Linked DNA regions of Anolis sagrei. The protein of the gene in region 1 interacts with the protein of each later gene in a biochemical or structural test. Links are inferred from orthologs where the notes say so. Each region holds a gene or a part of one and is shown in the gene's direction. Other genes may lie near its edges. The genes, in order: NR4A3 and SIX3.

Region 1 (8,087 bases):
TACGCCCTCCAAATGGGAAGTTTAGTTTCACAACTCTGTTTTTACGAACTCCCTGCAAATAACCTGCTCCTATTTTTATCTCATTAGAATCTTTTAATTGTTTTATCCTGTTCATGCGGCCCACCCACTGTTATTGTGATTGTATTTATTGGAATGTTTTTTCTATGTAATTTTGATGTTGTTGTTTGTTGTTTATGTTTTTGGTTTTATTCTGCTGTAATTATGTTGTCCGGGCTTGGCCCCATGTAAGCCGCTCCGAGTCCCCATTGGGGAGATGATGGTGGGGTATAAATAAAATTTATTATTATTATTATTATTATTATTATTATTATTATTATTATTATCTTACATTCATCACATCTGTTCTCGGTCCCACCCTCTTCATAAGCAGGACTGGTGGGGATGAGAGACAGGGCCTTCTCAGTGGCGGCCCCTCGACTATAGAACTCCCTCTCCAATTATATCAGATTGGTTCTTACCTACAAAGCCCTAAGCGTGACCGCATCTCCATATACAAACCCACACGATCTCTTCGATCATCTGGAGAGGCCCTACTCAAGATCCCACCTGTGTCACAAGCGCAATTGTTTGGGATGAGGGACAGGGCCTTCTCTGTGGTGGCCCCTCAACTCTGGAACTCTCTCCCCAAGGACATCAGACAAGCCCCAACGTTGGCAGTCTTTAGGAAGAACTTGATGAGATGGTTGTTCCAGTGTGCCTTCCCAGAATAGGAAACTCTTAGCATCATGTCCCCAATGCACTTTATTAGAGTTTAAGATATCTCCAAAAACCTATCCTTTTCACCTATCATGTGCAGCATTTTTAAAATTTTTAATCATTACATTTGGCCCGGCCTTAGTTTTTAAATGCATTGTGGTGTTATTGTCTAATGTTTACTGTTATTGCTTTAATGTTTATTGCTTTGTTTTATGAGTTTATTTATTGTTGTAGTTGTTATTCTGTTGTTTTATTGATGTGTTGGGCCTTGACCTCTTGTAAGCCTCACCGAGTCCTTTGGGAGATGTTAGCGGGGTATAAATAAAGGATTATTATTATTATTATTATTATTATTATTATTATTGGCCCCCTCCTTCCTGGTGTTCAGGAAAAAAGTCAAGGTCAAAGCCAGCACTTTGAATTGAGTTCAGAAGTGGACCACCAGTGGAGCTGACACAACAAGGGGGCGTTTTGGTTTTTTTGTTTGTTTGTTTGTTTTTTGTCGTGTCGGGAGCGACTTGAGAAACTGCAAGTCCCTTCTGGTGTGAGAGAATTGGACGTTGCCCAGGGACGCCCGGATGATTTGATGTGGGAGGCTTCTTTCATGTATTGTCAAAGGCTTTCATAGCCGGAATCACTGGGTTGTTGTAGGTTTTTTCAGGCTGTATGGCCATGGTCTAGAGGCATTCCCTCCTGACGTTTCGCCTGCATCTATGGCAAGCATCCTCAGAGGTAGTGAGGTCTGTTGGAACTAGGAAAAAGGGGTTTATATATCTGTGGAATGACCATGGTAAGACAAAGGACTCTTGTCTGCTGGAGCTAGGTGTGAATGTTTCAACTGACCACCTTGATTAGCATTTGATTGCCTGGCAGTGCCTGGAGCAAACTTTTGTTGAGAGGTAATTAGATGTCCCTGCCTGCTTCCTCTCTGTTGTTGTGCTGTTGTAATTTTAGAGTTTTTTAATACTGGTAGCCAGATTTTGTTCATTTTCATGGTTTTTTCCTTTCTGTTGAAATTGTCCACATGCTTGTGTATTTCAGTGGCTTCTCTGTGTAGTCTGACATGGTGGTTGTGAGAGTGGTCCAGCATTTCTGTGTTCTCAAATAATATGCTGTGTCCAGGTTGGTTCATCAGGTGCTCTGCTATGGCTGACTTCTCTGGTTGAAGTAGTCTGCAGTGCCTTTCATGTTCCTGGATTCTTGTTTGGGCAATGCTGCGTTTGGTGGTCCCTATGTAGACTTGTCCACAGCTGCATGGTACATGGTAGACTCCTGCAGAGGTGAGAGGATCCTTCTTGTCCTTTGCTGAACGTAGCATTTGTTGGTTTTTCTTGGTGGGTTTGTAGATTGTTTGTATGTTGTGTTTCCTCATCAGCTTCCCTATGCGGTCAGTGGTTCCCTTGATGTATGGCAGGAACACTTTTCCTCTGGGTGGATCTTCATCTTGACTCTCGTGGCTTGTTCTCGGTCTTGCAGCTCTTCTGATGTCTGAGGTGGAATATCCATTGGCCTGTAGAGCCCAGTTGAGATGGTTCAGTTCATCTTGGAGGAGGTGGGGTTCGCAGATTCTTTTTGCATGGTCTGCCAAGGCTTTAATGATGCTTCTTTTTTGACTTGGGTGATGGTTGGAGTTTTTCTGTAGATATCTATCTGCAGGCCTGTAGCGAGGGGGTGGTTTTAGGGGTTCAAACCCCCCCAAAAAATGTTTCAGATTTTTTTAAAAAATCTGGTTTACTCATGAACTTTAACTGGTTAACCAAATCCCCACGCTAAGTCTATGTGATGCAAAAAATTAAGAGTACCTTTAGAACTGTAAGCACTATCTCAAGCAAATATTGACAATTTATTCACACTGTCATTACTTGCAGCAATAGCAGATGTAGTGAAGCAACCAAGTTGGGTGTGTGTGTGTTGAATGCTCTCATTAAGGAGGCCAGACTTGGTGGAGGTGGTTGACAGGGGTGGAGCTGCAGGCTATGGAAGGTTGCTCTGCCCCCTGCTGTGCTCTTTGCTTCAGCGTGAGCTAGGAGGCAGGTTTCAACCCCCCCCCCCCCCGAAATTTTCAACCCTCCCCGAAATTTTTTTCTGGCTACAGCCCTGTCTATCTGTGTGTGTGGGTTTTCTGTAAACGGTGTGACCCAATTGTTGATCTGGTTTACGGATGACTGTAAAATAATAATAATAATAATAATAATAATAATAATAATAATAATCTTTATTTATACCCCGCCATCTCCCCAAAGGGGTCTCAGGGCGGCTTACTTGATTCAAAGCAGATTATCCGGATTTTATATAGCAGTATAAAAGGTTCCATAGGCCCCTAAGGGTCCATGCAGCTGAATAAAATCCTACATTTTTCTGCTTTGAATTCAGTGTGGACTCAGCTCAGATAACCCAGTTCAAAGCAGATATTGTGGGTTTTTCTGCCTTGATATTCTGGGTTATATGGCTGTGTGGCAAAGCCCATAGTGATCGTTTTTACCCAGTTTGGATCCCTGGGTGCCTTTCTTTCCTCCAAGAGAGGCCAGGTTAAAAAGAAATTATTATTATTATTATTATTATTATTATTATTATTATTTTACAGACACAAAAACACAGTATGTCACAGCAAACGAGATCTATATGCTGGAGTTCGTATCTAGAAAAGGCAGTCTTCCTTCCTTTTCTTTTTCCATAGTGAACTGGATGTTTGGGTGGATGCTGTTAAGATGGTCCAGAAACCTGTTGAGTTCTTCTTCTCCATGGCTCCAAATGGTTCCCAGTTCCAGCAGACCTCACAGCAGAGAGGAAACAACCAGGCACATCTTAACATCTTGTTCAAGGAGCTCCACTGGCTGCCATTTATTTTCCGAGCCCAATTCAAGGTGCAGGTGCTTACCTACAAAGCCCTGAATGGTTTGGGACCACCCTACCTGCGTGACCGCATCTCCATCTACGAACCCACACGCTCACTCCGGTCATCTGGGGAGGCCCTGCTCGTGATCCCACCTACGTCGCAAGCGCGCTTGGTGGGGACGCGGGACAGGGCCTTCTCTGTGGCGGCCCCCCGACTTTGGAATGCCCTTCCAAAAGAGCTTCGTCAGGCCTCTACTCTAGCAGTTTTCAGAAGGAACCTAAAAACATGGCTGTTCCGATGTGCCTTCGCAGATTAGGAATCCCCATCCCAAGTCCTAGATGCACTTTAGCACAACTAATGTTGCTGCACACCGCACTTTAATCCTACGTTCCTCCTGCCATCTCAGCACTTTTAACCCTGTACCCCATTGCGCTGGCCGAACCAGTTTTAATAGTGTCTTGATATATTGTCATTGTGGTTATTTTGCTTAATTGTTTTGATTTGCTTTGTTTATTGTTGTGTTATGTTTTTCTATTGTATTGTGTTTTGAGGCTTCGGCCCGTGTAAGCCACATCGAGTCCTTCGGGAGATGCTAGCGGGGTACAAATAAAGTTAATAATAATAATAATAACACCTCTCAACAAAAGATTTTCCCAGGCTCAGCCAGGCCTTCAAATGCTAATGAGGGTGGTCAGTTGAAACATTCACACCTAGCTCCAGAGAAAAGCTCTTTGCCCCACCCCAGCCATTCCACAGATATATAAACCCTTTGTCCTAATTCCAACAGACCTCACTACCTCTGAGGATGCTTGCCATAGATGCAGGCGAAACGTCAGGAGAAATGCCTCTAGAACATGGCCATATAGCCCGAAAAAACCTACAAGAACTGAGTGATTCCAGCCATGAAAGCCTTCGACAATACAGTGTGGACCACTGTTGCCAGATCAGACTTCCCAAGGTAGGGGTGCAGCTGGTGCACAAGCTTTAATTGTGCAAAAACTCCCCTAAACCTGGGGTTCCAGGCTCAGAGATGAATCCAGGATCACTCCCAAGCTGCCAACCTGCACCTTTCAGAAAGTAAGAGTTCTTTCTGCCTCCTGGAGCAGGCGATCTTCCTGGGAAGCCCGATCCGGTCGAGGGCTTCCCTTCTTCCTTCCCTGGGCTCTTGTTTCCGCGTCCGAGTGCGCGTGCTGGTTGTACAGGCGCGAGACACCCAAGCACACACAAGCACCCTTCCCTCCTTCCTTCCTTCTTTCTTTCCCTGCCTGCCTGCTTTCTCCATTGGCGCACAATCCCCACTCGCACACAATCACACGCCCTCTCTTTCTCTCTCTCCCCAGCTCAGCCCAGACAGCGGCGGCGGCGGGGCGGGCAGGGGGCGGGGGTCAGCCGCGTCAGGCTCCCATGGCGTCACGATTGACGTCTCGCATTCCAGCCGCTGCCTGAGAGGCCGCCGGGGCTCCTCGCATAAATGACGTGCGGCGCGCGGAGGGAGAGAGAGATTGAGCGCGAGCAGGAGCGCGAGCCAGGCAAAGAGAGGCAGCGCAGCCCGGAGCTCCGAGGTGGAAAGCCAGGCTCCCGTCGCGCCGATGCCGCCTCGCTCTGGAGCGACTGAAGGAGAGCACGCTTCCCCGGAGCAGCCGAGGAGGTCCAACTCTATGTAAAGACGGAACCGCCACCGCAGCCGAGTGAGTCGGAGCAGGGACGACTTGGGCAAAGTTTGGGCTGTGAGGGGTCTGGGGTCGCTTCTCTGGGGTCGGATCCGTACTCCCCCCCCTCCCCTAAAAAACCCAGGCATCGCTCGCTTTTCGCCTCCGCTGTTGTCATGGGGACGACGCTCTCCAGAGCCGGATTTTGATGCCTCCTCGTCCAGGGTGAGGCGTGAGCAGTGGGTCCGAATTGGAGAAGGGATCGGGGGCGGGGGGGGGGGGCAACAACAAAGCGGGAGGGGTTGCAGGGTTGCAGGCAACGGCGCCCCCCACACATCAATCCAGCAAGTGGAGCGACGCTCGCAAGTAGCGGCTCCAAACTTTTCAAGAAGGCGGAGATCGGGGAGCTTCTGCTTCCTCCTTCCCTTCCAAGGACTAAGCCTCGGAGGAGAGGAAGCGATAGATAAAGCGGAGAGCAGCCGGCTGCCTTTCCCGATTCACTTGCCCCCCACAACAAGCCTTTCCTCCTTCTTCTTCTCCTTCTTCTCCATCTCGTCCTCCTCCATCTCGTCCTCCTCCTTCTCCTCCTCCTCTTTCATCTTCTTCTCCTTCTTCTACTTCTCCTTCTCCTTCTTCTCCTCTCCTTCATCCTCATCATCTTCATCTCCTCCTTCTCCATCTCCTCCTCCTCCTTCTCCTCCTCCTCCTCTTTCATCTTCATTTCCTCCTCCATCTCGTCCTCCTCCTCCTCTTTCATCTTCTTCTCCTTCTTCTACTTCTCCTTCTCCTCCTCTCCTTCCTTATCATCTTCATCTCCTCCTTCTCTATCTCCTCTTCCTCCTCCTCCTTCTCCTCCTCTTTCATCTTCTTCTCCTTCTTCTACTTCTTCTCCTCCTTCATCTTCTCCTTCTCCTTCTTCTTCCTCATCATCTTCATCTCCTCCTTCTCCATCTCCTCCTCCTCCATCTCGTCCTCCTCCTCCTTCTCCTCCTCCTCCTTCTTCTCCTCTCCTTCTTCTTCCTTATCATCTTCATCTCCTCCTTCTCCATCTCCTCCTCCTCCTTCTCCTACTCCTCCTCTTTCATCTTCTTCTCCTTCTTCTTCTACTTCTTCTTCTTCTCCTCCTTCATTTTCTTCTTCTCCTCCTTCTTCTTCTTCCTCATCATCTTCGTCTCCTCCTTCTCCATCTCCTCCTCCTCCATCTCGTCGTCCTCCTTCTCCTCCTCCTCCTCTTTCATCTTCTTCTTCTACTACTACTTCTCCTTCTTCTCCTCTCTTTCTTCTTCCTCATCATCTTCATCTCCTCCTTCTCCATCTCCTCCTCCTCCTCTTTCATCTTATTCTCCTTCTTTTACTTCTCCTCCATCTTCTCCGCCTCCTTCTTCTTCCTCATCATCTTCATCTCCTCCTCCTCTTTCATCTTCTTCTCCTTCTACTTCTCCTTCTCCTCCTCTCCTTCTTCTTCCTCATCATCTTCATCTCCTCCTTCTCCATCTCCTCCCTCTATCTCGTCCTCCTCCTTCTCCTCCTCCTCCTCTTTTATCTTCTTCTCCTTCTTCTACTTCTCCTTCATCATCTTCATCTCCTCCTTCTCCATCTCCTCCTCTTCCTTCTCCTCCTCCTCCTCTTTTATCTTCTTCTCCTTCTTCTACTGCTCCTTCTCCTACTCCTTCATCTCCTCCTCCTTCTTCTTCCTCATTTTTTGTCGTGTCAAGAGCGACTTGAGAAACTGCAAGTTGCTTCTGGTGTGAGAGAATTGGCCGTCTGCAAGGACGTTGCCCACGGGACGCCCGGATGTTTTGATGTTTTATCATCCTTGTGGGAGGCTTCTCTCATGTCCTCGCATGAGGAGCTGGAGCTGATAGAGGGAGCTCATCCGCGCTCTCCCCAGATTCGAACCTGCGACCTGTCGGACTTCAGTCCTGCCGGCACAGGGGTTTAACCCACTCCGCCCCCTGGGGCTCCTTCTTCCTCATCATCTCCTCCTCCTCCCTCTCCTCCTCCTCCTCCTCCTCCTCTTTTATCTTCTCCTTCTTCTACTTCTCCTTCTTCTCCTCCTTCATCTTGTTCTCCTCCTCCTTCTTCTTCCTCATCATCTTCATCTCCTCCTTCTCCTCCATCTCCTCCTCCTCTTTCGTCTTCTTCTCCTTCTCCTTCTCCTTCTCCTTCATCTCCTCCTCCTCCATCTTCTTCTCCTTCTTCTACTACTTCTCCTCCTCCTCCTCCTTAATCTTCTTCTCCTTCTTTTTCTTCTTCTCCTTCATCTCCTCCTCCTCCATCTTCTTCTTCTACTACTACTTCAAACTACAAGAAAGGCGATTCCATCTGAACATGAGGAAGAACTTCCTGACTGTGAGAGCCGTTCAGCGGTGGAACTCTCTGCCCCGGAGTGTGGTGGAGGCTCCTTCCTTGGAAGCTTTGAAACAGAGGCTAGATGGCCATCTGTCAGGGGTGATCTGAATGCAGTATTCCTGCTTCTTGGCAGGGGGTTGGACTGGATGGCCCATGAGATCTCTTCCAACTCTTTGATTCTATAATTCTATGATTCTATGTACATGTGGCCCACCCACTGTTATTGTGATTGTATGATTCTACTTCTTCTTCATCATCTCCTCCTTCTCCTCCTCTTTCATCTTCTTCTACTTCTTCATCTCCTCCTTCTCCTCTTTCATCTCCTTCTCCTTCTACTACATCTCCTCCTCCACCTCCATCTTCTTCTACTTCTTCTTCATCTCCTCCTCCTCTTTCATCTTCTTCTCCTTCTACTACTTCATCTCCTCCTCCACCTTCTTCCTCATGTTCAGATGGAATCGCCTTTCTTGTAGTTTGAAGTAGTAGTAGTCATTCATCTTCTTCTACTTCTTCTTCATCTCCTCCTTCTCCTC
Region 2 (7,097 bases), on another chromosome or scaffold:
TACACTTTTTAACACCAACCAAAGTCCTGTCTAAATATACACAGTCGGGCTGGAAAGACAGCCATGACCCGTACAAATCTCTGTAAACCACACTTCCATGGCCGCAGCAACCACACAAAGGAGTGACCGGCTCAACACGCCGATTAAAATCGCCTTAAAAAGCGACGCACCTCCGGATCAAAATGCAGGCGGGCGGCGGAAGGGAAGGCCGGCGGAGCTACTCCTGGGAGAAGGAGGCTCAGAAAGGTGCTCCTAGGCATACACACACGGCCAGACCTCTCTTACACACTCACGCAAATACACACCACACACACACAGAGAGAGAAACAAAATCAGATCTCTCTCTTACACAGATACATAGACCTGATTTGTGTGTATGTGTGTATATACGCACACACCAGATCCCTCTTACAAACACTATCATCTATCTATCTATCTATCTATCTATCTATCTATCCCTATATGTTTATATACATAACCCTATATATTATATTTATTATATATCATATGTTTATTCCTATATAATATATTTACTCTATACCCATATATATATATATATACACACACACCAGATCCCTCTTACACACACACATATATACATCCCTATATGTTTATATACATATGCCTATATATTATATTTATTATATATCTATGTGTATATTCCTATATAATGTATTTACTCTATACCCATACACACACACACCAGATCCCTCTTTCACACACATTATATGTGTGTGTGTATCCCTATACGTTTATATACATAACCCTATATACTATATTTATTATATATCAATATGTATATTCCTATATAATATATCTACCTATATATATATATACACACACACACACCAGATCTCTCTTACACACACATAAATATAATATATATCCCTATATATTTATATATCCCTATATATTTACTATATATCCACATATCCACACACACACACCAGATCCCTCTTACACACATTATTATAATATATATATCCCTATACACGTATATCCCTATATATTATATTTATTATCTATCTATCCATCCATACATACACACACCAGATCCCTCGTACACACACATAAATATCATCCCTATATATTATATTTACTATATCTATACACACACATCAGATCCCTCTTACACACACATTATTATAATATATGCATATCCCTATATATAATATCCCTATATATTATATTTATCTATCTATCCATACATACACCAGATCTCTCTTACACACACATAAATATCATCCCTATATATTATATTTGCTATATATCCATATATGTATAGATACATAAATACACACACACATACACAAATCTCTCTTATACACACACAAATATATATAAGGCTGTTTGTGCATATGCAAACGCGCAAACACATATACATACACCAAGAGAGTACTTTATACACCTACATCTATATGCCAGTGTGTATAGGAGTGTGCATATATAGTCTAAATAGGTGTGTATTTCCATCCACTTGCTGGATTTTCACAAAATAGGTTTCCTTTAAAAAAAAACATAAATACAAGGAAAGAACTGAGGAAATCTCATCCTGAAGAGGTGAAAGTGACCAGAGGGGATGCATATTATCTCCAGACTCTGGCAGAAGGATAAAACGCACAACAAAAGAGGCAATGAATGGGGTTTATGACAATTGAGGGGAGTGGGAAGAATGGAAAATGGAAGATAATTTTCTGGAAGATCTAAACTATCACCCTGACCCTCTTCCCCAACAAAATTTGCTGAAATGTGCATTTCTTCCCTGATTCTGGGACAGTCCAGGGGTTGTTGTGGTTGGTTTGGAAACGTGGATTCACTCAGAAGCACATCCCACCCAATCCAACCGGGATGAAGTCGGAGAGGTTTCCTTCTTTCCCCTGGAAGGACCCAAACCTGTGCTGTTTTCCCACAACCTGGAGATGGAAGGAAGAGTTTGGCAAAGTTTGGACGCTGAAGGGACCCCCGGTGGAACTTCAGGGGCTGTGGGTGGGGAAGAGGGAGAGGAAACTAACCTGCTTCTCCCCCCTTTCCGACAGGCTCCATCCTTGGGAGGCCTCTCCTGGCCGGGTCAGCGGATGGATGGGCCTAATGATCTCATCTCGCTTTTCTTTCCCCGGCGCTATTAGTGCTCAGATAGGCAGAAACGAAGCGCAACTACGTGCAAATCATGTGCAAATCGTCTCCCTTCGGAGCCCTTTTATCCCACGCGGGGCCACCGTCTTCGCCTGAAACCACACCGCCACCTTCCTCCCCTTCCCCATTTTCCTTTCGAGGGGTGGCTGATTCTTTCCCCCTTTCTTGAAGCAGCAAAAGAGAGAGACCTCCAGAAAGAAGCGAGCCAGGGGCTCCTGAAATAAACAAGAGGAGGAGCATTTTGTGTGCTAAGAAAGGGTTTGGGGGGATGAGGGGTCGGGAGGATAGAAGGTGGAAGTGGGAGAAGAGAGAGGGAAGAGGCGGGTGACTGGGAGGAAAGAGAAGAACTGGAAGAAGAGAGAGAGAAGGTGGCATTACTGGGAGGAAAGAGGATGTAACTGGGAGGAAAGAAAATAACTGGGAGAATCGAAAGGAAAGACGCAAAACTGAGATGACAGAGGGTATAACTGGGTGTAACTGGGAAGAAAGAGAGCATAACTGAGAAGAAAGTATAATTGTAAGGAAAGAGGGTATAACTGGGAGAAAAGAGGTTATGACTGGGAGGAAAGAGAATAACTGGGAGAATCGAAAGGAAAGATGGCATAACTGGGAGGAAAATGGATGTAACTGGGAAGAAAGAGGGAATCACTGAGAGGAAAGAGACTGTAATTGTAAGGAAAGGGGGTATAACTGGAAAAATCAAAAGGAAAGATGGCATAACTGGGAGGAAAGTGGGTGTAACTGGGAAGAAAGAGAGTGTAATTGTAAGGAAAGAAGGTATAATGGAAGGAAAAAGGGTATAACTGGGAGGAAAGAGGGTATAACTGGGAGAAAAGAGGGTATAACTGGGAGGAAAAACAACTGGGAGACTCGAGAGGAAAGAGGATATAACTGGGAGGAAAGAGGGTGTAACTAGGAAGAAACAGAGTATAACTGTAAATAAAGAGGGTATAACTGGGACTAGAGAGGGTATAATGTAATCAAAGAGGGCATAAATGGGAGGAAAGAGATGAATTGGACGAATCGAAGGCAAAACTGGGAAGAAAGAGATTGTAATTGGGAGGAAAGAGGGCATAATTGGGAGGAAAGAGAGTATAATGTAAGGAAAAAGGATATAACTGGGAGGAAAGAGAGTACAATTGTAAGGAAAGAGGGTATAACTGGGAGGAAAAGGGGTATAACTGGGAGGAAAGAGAAGAACTGGGAGAATCGAGAGGAAAGATGGCATAACTGAGAGGAAAGAAGGTGTAACTGGGAAGAAAAAGAGTATAATTGTAAGGAAAGAGGTTATAACTGGGAGGGGAAAGGGCATAACTGGGAGGAAAGAGGGTATAACTGGGAGAATCGGGAGGAAAGAGAGTGTGACTGGTGGGATGAGGAAGAAAGAGGGTTTAGGGGGGCTGTTGTTGATAGAGGAAGAAAGACCGGGCAAAGTGGAAGTGCTAAGCTTGGGAGCTGCAGCGATTAAAGCACACACACACAGAGGGAAGCTTTCCTCCTCCTCCTCCGGCCCTTCCCCTCCTTCTCAGGCTGGCTGCCTCCTTCCTTCCTTCCCTCCTTCTTTCCTTCCTTCCTTCCTTCCTTCCTTCCTTCCTCCCCTCCCCACTCCCCTCCCCTCCGCCTTTTGGGCGAGAGCCCCCTTCCTCTGACGTAGCCCCCGATGATTGGCAGGGCTGACAGTGATTGGCAGCCCGCTGCCATGGCGACGCCCCAACGACGCCCGGCAGGCCAATAGAAAAAGCGAAACAAAATGCTCGGGCGCCCGCACTACGCGGCGGATTGAGGAGAGAGAGAGATATTATGAGGCGGGTGGCGGTTGGCATTAGGGCGACCGCGGCCGAGTCACTGAAAAGCAAGCCCCCTGGTTTGGGTTGGGGTGGGTTTTTTTTTTTGGCTCGGCGGCGGCGGCGGCAGCAGGGGGACTTTTGGGTGTGCGAGAGAGTGAGTGAGTGAGTGAGTGTGCAAGAGACCCAGAGAGAGAAAGAGAGAGAAGGGGGAAAGGAAGACGGCGGCTCGGATGCCTTCCTGGACGCCTGCGTGGGGCTGATCGCGAGTGGGAGCGAGGAAGGGGGGAGCGTGGGTTCGGACGAGGGTCTCTATGCGGCTGCGGATGCGCGTGGGGTGCGTGGGCCCCCTTTCCCTCCCCTCCGCCTCCTCCTCCTCCTTCTCCTCCTGGGCTGCTTCTACTTCCCCGTCCTCCTCCTCCTCCTCTTCCTCCTCCTCCTCTTCGCCTTGATCCCTCTTCCTCTCCTCTTCCTCTCTCCCTTCTTCTTTCTCGCCGTCCCCCCGCTCCCCGTCCGCCCGCCAGGCTGGGTCCCATGGTGTTCCGATCCCCTCTAGAGCTTTATCCGGCCCATTTCTTCCTGCCCAACTTCCCCAGCGAGCCGCACCCGGCCCACCACCACCCGCACCGCTCGCTCCTGCTGGCCAGCGGAGGCGGCGGAGGGGCCACCACCACCGGACCTGGAGGAGGCGGAGGAGGAGGCGGAGGTGGAGGCTCGGGCGGCACTGGAGGCTCCTCCGCCGGCGGCGGCTCCTCGTCGTCGTCCTCGTCGCGCGTGGGGCCCGAAGAGCTGTCCATGTTCCAGCTGCCCACGCTCAACTTCTCCCCGGAGCAAGTGGCCAGCGTCTGCGAGACGCTGGAGGAGACGGGCGACATCGAGCGCCTGGGCCGCTTCCTGTGGTCGCTGCCGGTGGCGCCGGGCGCCTGCGAGGCCATCAACAAGCACGAGTCCATCCTGCGGGCCCGGGCCGTGGTGGCCTTCCACACGGGCAACTTCCGCGACCTCTACCACATCCTGGAGAACCACAAGTTCACCAAGGAGTCGCACGGGAAGCTGCAGGCCATGTGGCTCGAGGCCCACTACCAGGAAGCCGAGAAGCTGAGGGGCCGGCCGCTGGGCCCCGTCGACAAGTACCGCGTCCGCAAGAAGTTCCCGCTCCCGCGCACCATCTGGGACGGCGAGCAGAAGACCCACTGCTTCAAGGAGCGGACTCGCAGCCTCCTGAGGGAGTGGTACCTCCAGGACCCCTACCCCAACCCCAGCAAGAAGAGGGAGCTGGCCCAGGCCACGGGACTCACCCCCACCCAGGTCGGCAACTGGTTCAAGAACCGACGGCAGCGCGACCGGGCCGCCGCCGCCAAAAACAGGTCAGTCCCACGCGAGTGTGTGCAGGGGAGGGCTGTGCGTGGGGTTGGAGGGGAGAGGCCACGGGTAGGGGGCAGGGGACACCCACCACTCTCGCATAGACATCCACCCGTGACCAGTGCGAACCCCCATTACTCACCAGGGAGCAGGAAGGATCCTCAACTCCCACGCGTCCTTTAGGGAGGAGGTTTAATGGGGACCCCTGTTCCCACGCGTGATATGGGACACCCCCCCCCCGAACCCACCCACGTAAAGTCAGGGACCCCCCCCCCCCCAGCTCTCCCACGTTCTTTCAGGAAGGAGTGTGAGGGATCCCCAATTCGCACAAGTCCTTTAGGGAGAAGGTTTGGGGGACCCCCGGCTCCTGCGCGTCCACTCACACGTGAACAAGTCAAAGGTCAGGGACTCCCAGGGACTCTCAGGAGTGAGTGTGAGTGTTGGGGAATCTGAAAACCAACAGTGAGGGCTCCCCAAATCCCAACTCTCGTGCTTCCTAACCCACGCGTGACCACAGACCACCAGACCCACCCACGGAAGTTCAGGGATACCTCCCCCCAACTTTCACGCGTCCTTGCAGGAGGAGGTTTTGGGGGATCCCCAACTCGCATTCCTCCTTCCACGCGTGACCAGGAACCCCCCAAGCCCTGCTCCTCGCCACAGGCCATGAGTTAGGCTGCCCTGCTCGGCTTTCAGAGCCTCTTTCCCTCCCCAGAAATCGCGATGTTGTTAGTGTGGGTCCCCTCTCTAGCAGGGCAGAAACCCCTCCTGGAAAGCCAAAAGAAACCCGAAAGTTGAGTGGGGTTCTTTCCCTCCTTCTAAAGAGACACTTCCTTTAAAAACCCGGAGTTTTGTCTCTCTCCATCCTGCCGAGAGAGGTGTGTTTGCCTTTCCATTCCCCGCTTGGAGTTCTCCATGCTATCCCAGTTGCAAAGTTTTGCCTGCTCGCCAAACTCTCTTATGATCTTAAAATATATTTGGAAACTGGACTCTTTCCACCCGTTCAAATTCCCCCCAATTCTCAGAACACGTGTGTACCTGCGTGTCCGTTTGAGTACCCACAAGAATAAAGCGAGGGATCTAACTAGGGACCCATCACCATAAGAGAGGAGAGAGAAGCAGATAGAGAGAGAGGAGAGAGAGAGAAATCGCCTGAAGCGGAAGCCGTCCTGTTTTCCCTTCCGCGGACAATCCTCGGGCACAAATCGGTCTGTAAATAAATCCTCCCTCCTCGCCGCTTGCATTGGAGTTCCGACTAGTGTTATGATTGGATTTTATGTCTCTGAAATGTCACTTGGCCCTTTCGCTGTGACTTGTCAAAAGGATCACATGAAAGGATGAACCCGGAGCTGGAATAACAAACAATGCAATGCGAGGAGGAGGGAAAAGGAGGGCTGGCTGTGCTTCTTGATCTGCGCCAGGCAAGAAACGCAGAAACTTTTTCCCTCGCCTTCTTCTCAGCTTTCCTCAGTAAATATTCTAAATAAACCCATGGAAAGCTGCCTTCTGAAGGGGGCTGGGAAGACCAGGAAGCGGCTGTTTCTCTATCCTTATTCATTATCAAGCAAACAAACAAATCCCTTTGCTGAGAGGGGGGATCAAGATAAAGAGAAGGCAGAGGAAAGGGCGCCAAAGGAAAGCAAAGAGAGGCAAAGCATTGCAAAAAGTTGCCCGTCCCTCCCCTCCAGAGCCTGGCATTTATTTTTCCTAAGGGTTTCCGCCTTGGTTGAGGGGTAAATAATATCCAGGGCCGGGTGGGAGTAGCGTGAGAGACCAAAAAGCATGTTTTTTGTGGCACGGAGACCCATTTGCGCTTCT

The links.
Region 2: the proteins of NR4A3 (region 1) and SIX3 form a complex in vitro, tested with the Homo sapiens proteins (3 studies listed by BioGRID). The link is inferred for Anolis sagrei from reciprocal best matches to the Homo sapiens genes NR4A3 and SIX3.

The regions. Positions count from the first base shown.
Region 1 is NC_090026.1:61,209,482-61,217,568, forward strand, and holds the start of NR4A3 (nuclear receptor subfamily 4 group A member 3), read left to right. Parts: upstream 1-5,005; 5' UTR 5,006-5,241; intron 5,242-8,087. UniProt on the Homo sapiens protein: Transcriptional activator that binds to regulatory elements in promoter regions in a cell- and response element (target)-specific manner.
Region 2 is NC_090021.1:28,039,893-28,046,989, reverse strand, and holds the start of SIX3 (homeobox protein SIX3), read left to right. Parts: upstream 1-3,842; 5' UTR 3,843-4,451; coding exon 4,452-5,284; intron 5,285-7,097. UniProt on the Homo sapiens protein: Transcriptional regulator which can act as both a transcriptional repressor and activator by binding a ATTA homeodomain core recognition sequence on these target genes.